Regions from separate parts of the Mus musculus genome. Here region 1 is reported to be linked to region 2. Evidence: microRNA targets listed by miRTarBase, many of them from high-throughput screens and not tested one by one. Region 2 holds a microRNA gene; the other region holds the end of a gene's coding sequence.

Region 1 (5,372 bases), not on the chromosome of region 2:
AGGTTAGGTTGGTTGGCTGGTGAGCCTCGGAAATCCTGTCTCTATCTCTCACACTGGGAGTACAATTGATTCTTTACCAACAGGCAGACTTGTGTGCACTGTCAGTCTGACCAGGCAGTGTTCGTGTCCTATCCAGACACAGCTGTGCTCTAGTTTACTGCTTAGAATTTGGGCCTGTAGGAAATAAAAATATGTGGCTTGTCTCAAGACAGATTATACTTTGTACCATGAAATTCCCATCAAGAATTCCTCAAAAAAGTCAAATCTTACGTGTTCAGAAAGAAGGCAAGGTTTTTGTTTTCCAAAAATAGTTTTTAGATTAGCAAACAGAATGAGAGTTTAAAGCCCTGTGTCTGTGGGCTGTGGGCAGTGTGAACTGACGAGTGTGAAGGCAGGAAGCCAGACTGCATCATCCTTTTTGTTTTTAGACATCTAGGTTGCTCCACGGGAATCCTTCGACACAGCTCATCCTCTCTGCTGCCTTTCCACTACAACAGAGCACTTTCCCTCCTTCGCACCACCAGCAACACCAGCCTCAGCAGCAACAGCAGCTTCCTCGGCACAGGACTGACAGCCTGACTGACCCTTCCAAGGTCCAGCCACAGTAGCACACACACTTCCTCTCTGACATGCGAGAGGAAGGGGATGGCCAGAAAGAATCGCTCAGTTGGCATGCGGTCAGAAGTTGAACAGTTTCACGAGGGTGGTCTTGAGTGTTCAGTCCCTTGATGAGACGGTAGGGAAGTGCTGCCCAGTGCTTCAGATGTCCATTAAATACCAGCCAGTGGGAAATGGTCATAGGGACACAGCCAATTCTGACAGTTTCTTTGCCCAGGTATTTTTTGATAGAAAGAGTATATTGCCAAATGCTAACAAGCTCAGCTATCAACCAGATCTTTACTGAATCCGAAGAGCACTAACAGTGTTGGTAGCTTTAGTGGGTCTGTGCCTGCATCAAATATTACAGAGGGCACACCACTGCCAGGGGTTTGCTTAGAATGCCATGAAGATAGTCCAGTAGTTAATAGTCCCCACCCCAAACTCCTCTCCCTGTTCAGACAATGATGGAACCGTGATGACTTTGAGAATGTTGTGCAGGTTTGAATTCACTGTGTACAGATGCTGTAGTGTCTCTGTGTCTGGATGGAGGAGAGAAAGCCACTTTGATACAGAAAGCATTATCTGTCCCTCACAGGTATGAGTGCATTTCATTAGGTTTGACACCATGTACAAACTGATAACAACCTCTCTTTTTTCATTTTGTTTACAACACAGTAGTGTTCTCGTTACTTTTCCAGGGCACAAGTCTTTTTGTCCGTGCTTTGGCTGTGATGTCACAGTTTGTTCAGTGAGGTAACAATGTGCTGCTGGGAATGGATTTTTTTTAAGGTTAAATTATTGCTACATTTCCACTTACTCAGAAATATCCCTTATTTCATTATTTTTCAATTATGTTTGAGAGAATTGCACTGCTTTATTATTTTAGATGGTTGGTTGAGAGTTTAATCACATATTTTGATATATTTCATAGTTGGAATATTTATGTAAATGGTTTTCAACAAGCCTGAAAGTAATTTCAAGAATGTTTCAGTTGTAAGAGTAAAGTTTGCACACAAAACATTTTAGGCACTTTTTTAACATTCTCAGAGGTGGGAATTTTAACTTTTAGGATTTGTTGGAATCTTTTTATTATCTTTAAAAATTTCAATGCTTCTTTTAGTCAGAAATGATTCAGGGTTATTTGAGGGGAAAAAACCCATAGTGCCTTGATTTTAATTCAGGTGATAACTCACCATCTTGAATTCATTGTCTGGTTTCAGTAGCAGTTTTGAAACCTTAGTACATTTTTAGCAGCAGTGTCATTCTCAAGTCCCCATGAGGACTGCTGCGTCTCTTGGGCTGCCTGACAGCGTCACAGCTGGGAATGGGATCCCAAAATCGTTTCCTGTTTGCATCTTCCTCTAAAGCTAAGTAACTCTTTTAGGAATTACCAGTAAATACTTGCTCAGAGACAAGGGACAAGTTGTCTTTAATTTTCATTGCAGCACTAGAATAATGTAACTCACATGCTTTTTAAACATTAAGATTTCATTTGGCAATATCATTCTCTACAGGTAATAAACTCCAACAAAGCTACATACATTTTAAAAGGCATTTTTTTAGATTTTATGGTACTAATAATGAGTTTTTCAATTAAAGAACAAAAGATCAGTAGGATATAGAATATCAAGTATTACTGAGAAAAGGGAGGATAAGTGTGGCACATTAGAATTGACCTTAAAAGGAAAGTATGTGATGGTGAGGTGCTAAACTGGTTTCAGCAGTGCAGATAACCTAAGGCAGAGTTGCTAGATCAGGGCTTGGGGAACTCGGAGTCAGCTATCTGTCTCTAGCTTTGCTCTCATCATCAGTAAGTGTGTCTTTGTTTTCCTGTTTACCTGACTGCAATTAAGTTAGCAAGTTAGTGATAAAAAGAAAACAACCAAAGAAAATTGGTACCTACTCTTCTGCATAAGAAGTGTGTCTAGATACCAGTCAGTAACTCACATATCACAGAGTTCTTCTAGCTGACATTCATACGAATACCAGAAATAGTTGTGAGAATACACATTTATGCAAGTTTGTGCACACGTGACGAAATCAATGTAAGTCGAGCACCCACATTGCTTTTCTCCCTTCCACATTGCCTTCTTCTCTTTGGCCATTCCATGTCCTCGGAGTCGGAGCTGTGCCTCGTTTATCTTTTTGCATCACATAGCGATAAGAATTTAGCTACAGGAGATACAACATGCTAGTTATGTAATGCCTGCTGTTCTTCACAGTTCATCTCCCTGCTTAAAAGTAGCAGTTGATAAGAAACTCTAGCTGCTAAGGCTGCTGTCCACACGGAGATGCATGCTGGGCAACAGTTGTCAGCACTAGCTGCCTCTTAGCTCCTTAATTCTTGGTTCCTTTGGATGGCAAACTGTCTTTGTCTGCTCCCCACACGACTCCAGTATTCTGAAGAAAGTTCATCTTTTGCCTGTTCATTTCTGTAGCCAAAGCTGACTGAAACCCCAAATCTAAATCATGAAAAGATACCAAAAAGAAACACTTCTCAGCTTCTTAGAAACCTTAACTTCTCTTGCTGTATTTCATGGATTTGATTTTCTTTGAAATTTTTGATTCTGGGCAGCGCCTTTTAATTAAGAAATTGTTAGGATGAAGGTCAAACAGGTTCTCATTGCCCTGCAGGTACCTTGCTCTGGACTGCTTCTGTATGGGGTGACTTGGGGTTGCTGAACACACAGGATTAGAACAGTAAACACAAAGCTGCCCTTGAGGCTGGCGTTAAACCAGAGCCTCAATATTGAAAATATCAAGTCCTCTTTCCTTCCTTAGAGACGAGACTGTGAGAGGAAAGCAACTGTGGTAGGTGGGCTTGCTTGCACATGAGCACCAAGACCATTCCCCAAGCTCTATCCTCAGGGTAGCATTTAGAGTGCTGTGTTCTGCTGTCACATAGACATGGCTTAGGGATGTAGCACTAATAAAAGAATGCCCGTGCTTTTGAATAGTTGTGATAGCAAACTCTAGGCTAACTAGCAAGTGTTTGAATTCTGTGTGCTGTATAGTAGTTGGTCATTGCCTTAAAGCAGTCTCTTGGAAGTTGGGAGCACTGAAGCAGTCCAACCATATATGGGCATCACGTTGAGGGAGATGAGCCTTGTTCAAGCCTTAGAAAGGACCCTTAGTCTACACAGGTAGATTCTTTTCACTTGGATATTACTGTGTTTAAAATGTTTCCACTATGTTGAGGCAGTTTTTTAAAGTGGAACACAGATAGGATTTTTAGTATTTCTTTTTTTGTTTCTTTGGTGATTAAAGGTTTGTTGGTAGACATTTGTGTAAAAGTTGTTCAAGCCTATCATCTTTCCAGTACTTGTGGTCCTGTTCTTAGTACCAGAGTCCACAATGGAAAGTGTAAACACTGGATATTAATATTGCTGAGGGTGCATAGCCAGGTGTGAGCTGACTGGAACTTCTCAGTGGTGAAGAAACAGCACAACGGCACTTGCCATTTTCATAGTGATTGCATAAAGAGACCTTCTAAGTTTGTCTGGATTGAGTGAACACTCTTCTAAGAGGAGCTTCTCAAGTAAATGCAAAGGAAAAGAGTTGACTATTTTTATAGCATATTTAATATATTTGTATATAACTATGAGTGTAGTAGGAACCCTCCACATGCCTCCCACTTTTCTAATTCCCTCCCCTTCTGCCGTAGCCCTAGTCCAGCCTCATCCGCATGGGTAATGTGCCTACTGTCAGCCTACCTACCAAAAGATAGTGCTGCTGCTTTCTGAGACAGGTGAGATCAGACTCTCATGCCTGGGGATCCTTATGGGAGGAATAGCACACACTTAGAACAACATACCACAGTTTAAGAGCATCATTTTGAAAGGTAATAAGCACTTTATTGCAATTATTCATTTAGATAAAGTTTGTATCTTAGGCATTAACCGTTTTTAAAGGATCCCTAATCATCACTTAGGTGAAATGATAAACGACACATTTCTGAGAAATGTTCAGGTCCAGTGAACCGTAGCAGGTTTATGGGAATGATTTCAAGGTAGCCAAATAAACTCTGACTTTTGTTTTGAATGTGGTGGAGTCAGGAGATTGTAGATGTGTAGTTTGATTTAAACACTATTGTAAACCTATCTTGCCTATTGTGTGGACACCAAAAGAGACCAATGAGCCTGTTTATTTTCAGAGGTCTAGGAATATGCATCTGTCTGAGTAGATATACAGAACTAATCTATAAACGGTTGGTAGTAATATTTTAGGATACAGTAACTTCAAGAATTATTGAGTGTTTTAAATGTGCCCTGAAATGTTGGCATGTCATTTCAGCGTTCCCATTTGAGTTGCTCTTGTAATATTTTTGCACAAAAAGGACTGAGAAAAGACTGCTTTGGTTGAAGAAAACTATAATTTGGTCTTATTTTAATGTCTCCTGTGGAAACACTGGAGGTAAATTTGTTGGCATAGTTACTAATTCAGGATATTTAAAACAGTGTTGAACAGCTCATCAGAAATTAAGCAAACTTATATATTTAAAAATTAAAAATCTTTTTTTCCATGTGACTGTTTTGCATATTTTTTCCGTTGTCATACCACACTACATTCCTTGGTTTTTTTTCTGAAATAATAATTTGTGAAAGATTTGAGTATTCAACAATATTTTTTAAGACGCCTGGGTTTTCCCAGGAAAATGTCCTAGTGAAGTAAGTTATAGCTATATATAGTTTGTGGAGACTATTGAGATTCCATCAACACCACCAGCAAACACTGAGGTGCTGAACCAAGAGACAATCATAATAGTAAGTATT
Region 2 (5,372 bases):
CCCTACCTTTACGCTGTTGGTGGCTGTGGATGGCATCCCTTTCATACTCACCTGTAGTACTGAGGGGCAGTCAGCTGGGTGCCGGGTACACCAGCCATTTTCACGGGACCACACACCAGGTGTTTCTGTGAAAGACTGGAAGGGCTCAGCCCAGTTGGCACTACCCTCCCCGCTTCAGGGAACTATATCAGTTGCTTTTCTACCTTGGTTTTCCCAATCTGTAACCACCAGCCTTCCTTCGTACCTCCTCAAGACACCATCATCCTTTTTCTTAAGACTACATAGTCACAGGACATTTGCACTTGTAGCACGGGTGCCTATGGTCACATCAGTCTCTAAACCCCATGGTATTCCAGGCCTGAGGTCGGAGGTGGTTTGGTTAACTTTGGTAACCAACCTGCTTGTGAGGAGCCCGGTCATCCAATTTCTGCCAGAGCAAATCCAGCTTTTGTTGCTGGAATGCCTCTTCACAGCTAACCACGTGTATAACCACGCAGTCATCTACACCAGCATCTGGACGCCCAGCCTGAGGAGAGATGGGGCAGTTACTACAAAGATACAAAAATCCAGTTTGGGCAGAGGTCAAGGCAGCCACTCACCGGGCCTGGGTGGCCGCCCTCTGGCCAGTGGCGCACAGCCTCCTGCAGCTCCGAGAGCACAGAGAGCACATCTTCAGTCACTACAGAAAACAAGAGGTGTTGAAGTGCCTGGCAGTGCAGAGACACAACCCCACCCATGTTCTGCCGTTTGTCCTACCCAAACAGTGGTCTATGCTGGGGTCATAGCCAGCAGTGCCTCTCTGTTCTACCAGTTCCTTCAGACACAGTCGGCCTAGGACGCCAGGGGGCAGCGTCGCTTCCTTAGAACCATTAAGGTTTGCAAGAACACAGGTTCTCAGTGTTTCGGTCGAGGTGCTCTTCGAGGCAGTGGGCCATTCCACCCGAAGTTTCTGGAGGAAAGTTGACATGTGAGGGTCCCGCACCGGGGGCACTGAGCACACACGTACCCTGCAAAGCAAGGGAGGCTGTCTCAGCCTGCGGACCAGGCTTAGATTATCATGACTCCCACCTTTTCTATCCCCAAATGTTCGGTCTTTTGCCATTATAGCTTCGAACACGCACTTACCCATGAGCACGCAGTACCCGTACTAGATGATCGGCTACGAGCACGGCACGCAGCTGGCTCAATCGGAGCGTCCCCGAATTACAGCGCAGTGCTGGGCAGTGTAGGACAACTCGCGGGCCTGGTGAGGCAGGTTTGGCGGGAGTAGCATAGGAGGCCAGGGCACCGAGTACATGTTCGAAGACAGCGGGCCGCTGTAGTTGGAGCGATAAACCCGCGGGTGTCGGCGCGCAGCGCAGTACAGGGGCCACTCCGGGACCCTGCAGGCAGGAGACCGCACGGAACACGCACTCTGGCACCTGCAGGCAGATGTGTGTAAGTGGGCCGTAGTTCCGTGGATCCCGCTAGGCATGCCCCACAGGAGCGCACCCACCTGGCCGTCCCTGAAGCGCGCCTGTAGCGCGCTTCGCGGTGCCAAGAAGTCTCGAACACGAAGGTGCCGGGCATGGGTTTCCTTAAACCACACTGGGCTACCAGGCCCTACAGCTGCATTAAGGGCCTCCAGCGTCTCGCCAACCCCAAGGCGCCCGGTCGCCATGGCGACCGGAAGACTAAATGGAACAGGAAGTAAGTTATCCGTAGAGCTTCCGGGAGGTCCGCCTGGCGGGGGCGGGGATCCGGCCGTGGACTCTCCTGAATGGACCAGAGCGATCGAGCATGCCAAGTGAGCTTACATTCTACCCACGCCTCCAGCTCTCCCTCCCGATGGCCTTTCCTGTATTCATGAGCCCTAACCTCCAAATTTGAGGGTCCATTTTTCCTCCTTTTTAAAAAAATCGTCACCCCGAATTATTACTTTGATAACGGATCTTTGTTACCAGGCAAGACACTTTGCCACCAAAGTTTCACATCTTTGTGTTTATGTCTCTTTTTTCTTTTTCTGCCCCATTTAAACAAATTAAAGGCCAGACGCACGAGACGAAATGTCAAAGGAATAAGGCTGTACCATTAATGACACTTTGTTTTTCAAGACAGGGTTTCACTGTGTAGCCATGGCTGTCCTGGAACTCTTTGTAGACCAGAAAGTCCTTGAACTCAGAAATCCACCTGCCTCTGCCTCCTGAGTACTGGGATTAAAGGTGTGTGCCACCACTCGTGTCTTCCATTAAAGACTCTTTACCGCCTACTTGGAAAAGTAACGAAACAAAGCAAAATTTGAGTTCTGATTATTGGTACGCCTTTCCTCGGCTGCGGTATGGAATGTCTTTATTCCCAGTAAAAGCCCAATCGGATAGAATTGCCCATCTTGATACCCGAGGAATTAGTCATCATGATTCCAGGATTACCAGCCTTTAATGTTTTTCCTTTAAACTGGTGTTACCGGCACCTTTGGTTCTTTAGGCAACTGGTCAGTTTAAGACAAATGTGATGATGAGAAGACCCAAATAAGCAGAGCTCTCAGGTAGAGCAAGCTGCAGGTGAGCTTTTCTATGTCCAAACTCTTTCGTTTCCAAGTAACGTGAAACTCCACTTCCCCCAGTAATGAATGAATCCAACCGGTGAACTTTGCTCCGGAGAGGAGTGACATCTAGAGATAGGAAAAGTTCGGGAAGGCCGGGGCTATGAGGCCCTGTTTGGGAGGTGCCGAAAGAGCACTGGGCGGACACGACATTCCCGATGGCTTCTTGGGTGCCCACTCAACGGGAGTGATCGTGTCATTCCAAAGCACTTTCCATGCTGTGGTGTGGGTTCAGCTGCTAGCAGGGCTGGGACCCACCAGCAAGTTGGTGATTTTAGCTACTCTCCCTCCATGAAGACGGTTGGGGTGGGTTTTCCCCAGGAAGTGAAGATCTATCTTTAGCGAGCTGCGGGCTGGGCGGCCTTGTGGGACTCACCGCCATTGCGGCCCTTCAGAGAGAGGACCCAGGACCTCCCTGGTCAGAGTTCTCCAGGGATTCCAGACAGGGCCATCAGCCCGAGCTTTTTTCGTCGCCTCTGACTGCCACCATCAGTCTGGGGGTGCACCTGAGAGATGGAGATCAGAATGGCCCAGTAGTGTAGTGTTTCTGAGAATAGAGACCACATTATCTGGGCCAGGGCGCTGCTCAGGCAGGAGAGCAGGGAACGAAATCCAAGTGCAGCTGGAATGCTCTGGAGACAACAGCTGCTTTTGGGATTCCGTTGCCCGCTGTCCAGCCATTGGAGGAGGGCTCTTGCTCCCAGGTCACTCGCCCTGAGGCCAAACCGGAACCCGCCCATCCCTTCCCAGTGGGCTGAGTAGGAAGGAGTAGGTGTTTTAAACCAGTCTAGTGAGAATGAGACGCTCACCTGGGCCCCAGAACAATAGAAGGTGGGGGCATCCCCCGGGACGAGGTCCTGATCCGGATTAGATCAGAAGGGCTGGATTAGCCCTGTGAGTCCCAAGCAGGAGCCACTTGTACCGGGCAGGCTTCGGAATCCGTCAAGAGGGAAGCGATTCCGTGAGACCCGAGAGGAAGTAAACCCATGTGTCCACTTCTGGGACTCCCCAAAGCTTAGGACCTTTTGTCTGGTGACGGTGCCAGCTCATGAAGTGCCAGGGGCCAAACTGGCCCACATAGCAGCGGCAGGACAGCCTCCCCCCAAGCCCATTGCAACCGGCCCTGCAAAGAACCCCACAGCCAAGCCCCATTTGTGTCAAGCATCCCACCCGTCTAGTCCAGCGGATAGAGAACGCGACAAAGTTCCTCTGAGGCCAGGACAGAACCGGTGCGCAGAGATGCCCATGCCGCGGGACGCCAAGGACTCATGCGCCAGTAGGCCCTAGACTCAGCTCAAGACAGGGGGAGGGAGACTCTCGGTACGCGCGCGCAGAGCGCGCAAGGGCGGGGTGGTGCTCCAGGCGCGGTCTACTTCACGTCTGGTCCGGTTTGGCCCAGTCAGTCCCACTCGAACAGCTACTCCAGCACTGCCACGGCGTGCCCTTCCGCTGGCTCTAGCTGTCCCCAGACTTGGAGCCATTTTAAGGAGAAACCATCTGGCCACACCCCCTCGCGCTGCCGGGAAGCCAATCCATGCTCGGCCACGCCTCTCATGGAGCGCTGCGCCGTCGCCAACGGTCGCGCTGGTGACGGTTGGGGAAAGCAGCGATTTCGAGACTAGCTAGGGAAATTTTAGCCATCTGCCCCGCCCCCGGAGCCCGATTCTCCAAAGCCTGGGATTAAGGGCCTGGAGGCTGGCACCACACCCTGGCCAGGTGTTCATAACAGGACCAGGTGCGCAGCTGCCCCGCCCTGGTCCCTGGGAGCCCGAATAATGGCTGAGAATCCCAGGAACAGGCCGCGGCAGTGGCCTAAACAATACCCTTAGGGCGCCCGTACTAGCAGGTGTTTTTCCCCCTCCTCCTTAGGGACTGTCGCTGGAGGCATGGGGCGGGGTGGGCGACAGGTGCTGACACACCCGCATGGGGAGACAGAGGCTCTGCATTGGCCTACTGCGCCGTTCAAGGTGCGCGGTGCCCTCCGGGACGCAAGGGGCGCTGTGGCTACTTTGAGACAGACAACTCTGTCCCTACGACCGGGTCGTTAAGCGCCGTTGCAGCCATGGCTACTGCTCTAGGATTTCGCTGCCTTTTCCGAACGCGACCTGCGCCGCTCTGTCGGCACGTCGACCGGCTGTGGTGAGCATCCCCTGTCCAGCCTCTGACCACTTGGCCTCGGACCTTTCAATCCCGCATAGTCCGGCCGGGCCACGACTTCCTGACTTTAGCCCTCCGCAGGAGGAACCCGCGTCGGGGACACCGGCTTTCTCCGGCGGACGATGAGTTATACCAGCGGACTCGCATCTCACTGCTGCAAAGCGAGTTCCCTCAGGCCGTGTACATCGACAGCTACAGTAGCAGAGGCTTCACTATCTGCGGAAATCGCGTGTTTGGCCCTTGCGTGCTGCTCCCACAGACGGTGGTCCAGTGGAACGTGAGCCTTCTCCCCTACATTGAAATTTAAATAGCGCCAGAAGCCACTCCCTCCTAGCAAATTTAGCTTTATTTTGTTGCCTATTAGTGTCGCTGTGAGTAAAGGCTGTATAGATTTGATGTGTTGAATGGCCTCTGCTACCATACAGGTGGGATCTCATCAGGATATCACTGAAGAGAGCTTCTCCCTTTTCTGGATGCTGGAACCTAGGATAGGTATGGGGCAGTGGGTAGCACTGGGTCCTAAGTGACCACCTCTCTATCAGACCCTCATCGTTTGGTTGTCTCCACCCTTAGAGATTGTTGTGGTGGGCACTGGAAACAAGACTGAGCGGCTGCACCCTCAAGTACTACAGGC

The links. The annotated mature microRNA mmu-miR-425-5p reads AAUGACACGAUCACUCCCGUUGA and lies in region 2 at 2,760-2,782, opposite strand. An mRNA with a match to its seed (bases 2 to 7 or 8) in the 3' UTR can be bound and repressed. Matches are read on the target gene's strand: a 7mer-m8 pairs with bases 2 to 8, a 7mer-A1 pairs with bases 2 to 7 and ends in A, and an 8mer does both.
Region 1: miRTarBase lists Clock as a target of mmu-miR-425-5p. Seed matches in the 3' UTR shown: 7mer-m8 at 1,857-1,863 and 7mer-A1 at 5,150-5,156.

What each region holds. Positions count from the first base shown.
Region 1 is chr5:76,211,935-76,217,306 of GRCm38, reverse strand. It overlaps Clock (circadian locomotor output cycles kaput), which reads left to right. Exons shown (of 23, transcript NM_001289826.1): 23 at 429-5,372. The coding sequence ends at 608. Among named protein-coding and RNA genes, the nearest start is that of Tmem165, 31 kb to the right of the region's middle.
Region 2 is chr9:108,566,199-108,571,570 of GRCm38, reverse strand. Mir425 (microRNA 425) reads right to left here and starts at 2,794; the gene lies at 2,710-2,794. Ndufaf3 (NADH:ubiquinone oxidoreductase complex assembly factor 3) reads left to right here and starts at 4,135. Exons shown (of 5, transcript NM_023247.2): 1 at 4,135-4,720; 2 at 4,820-5,015; 3 at 5,164-5,230; 4 at 5,312-5,372. The coding sequence starts at 4,644. Dalrd3 (DALR anticodon binding domain containing 3) reads right to left here and starts at 1,679. Exons shown (of 12, transcript NM_026378.3): 1 at 1,496-1,679; 2 at 1,126-1,421; 3 at 757-1,007; 4 at 600-679; 5 at 398-526; 6 at 52-125. The coding sequence starts at 1,660. Mir191 (microRNA 191) reads right to left here and starts at 3,252; the gene lies at 3,179-3,252.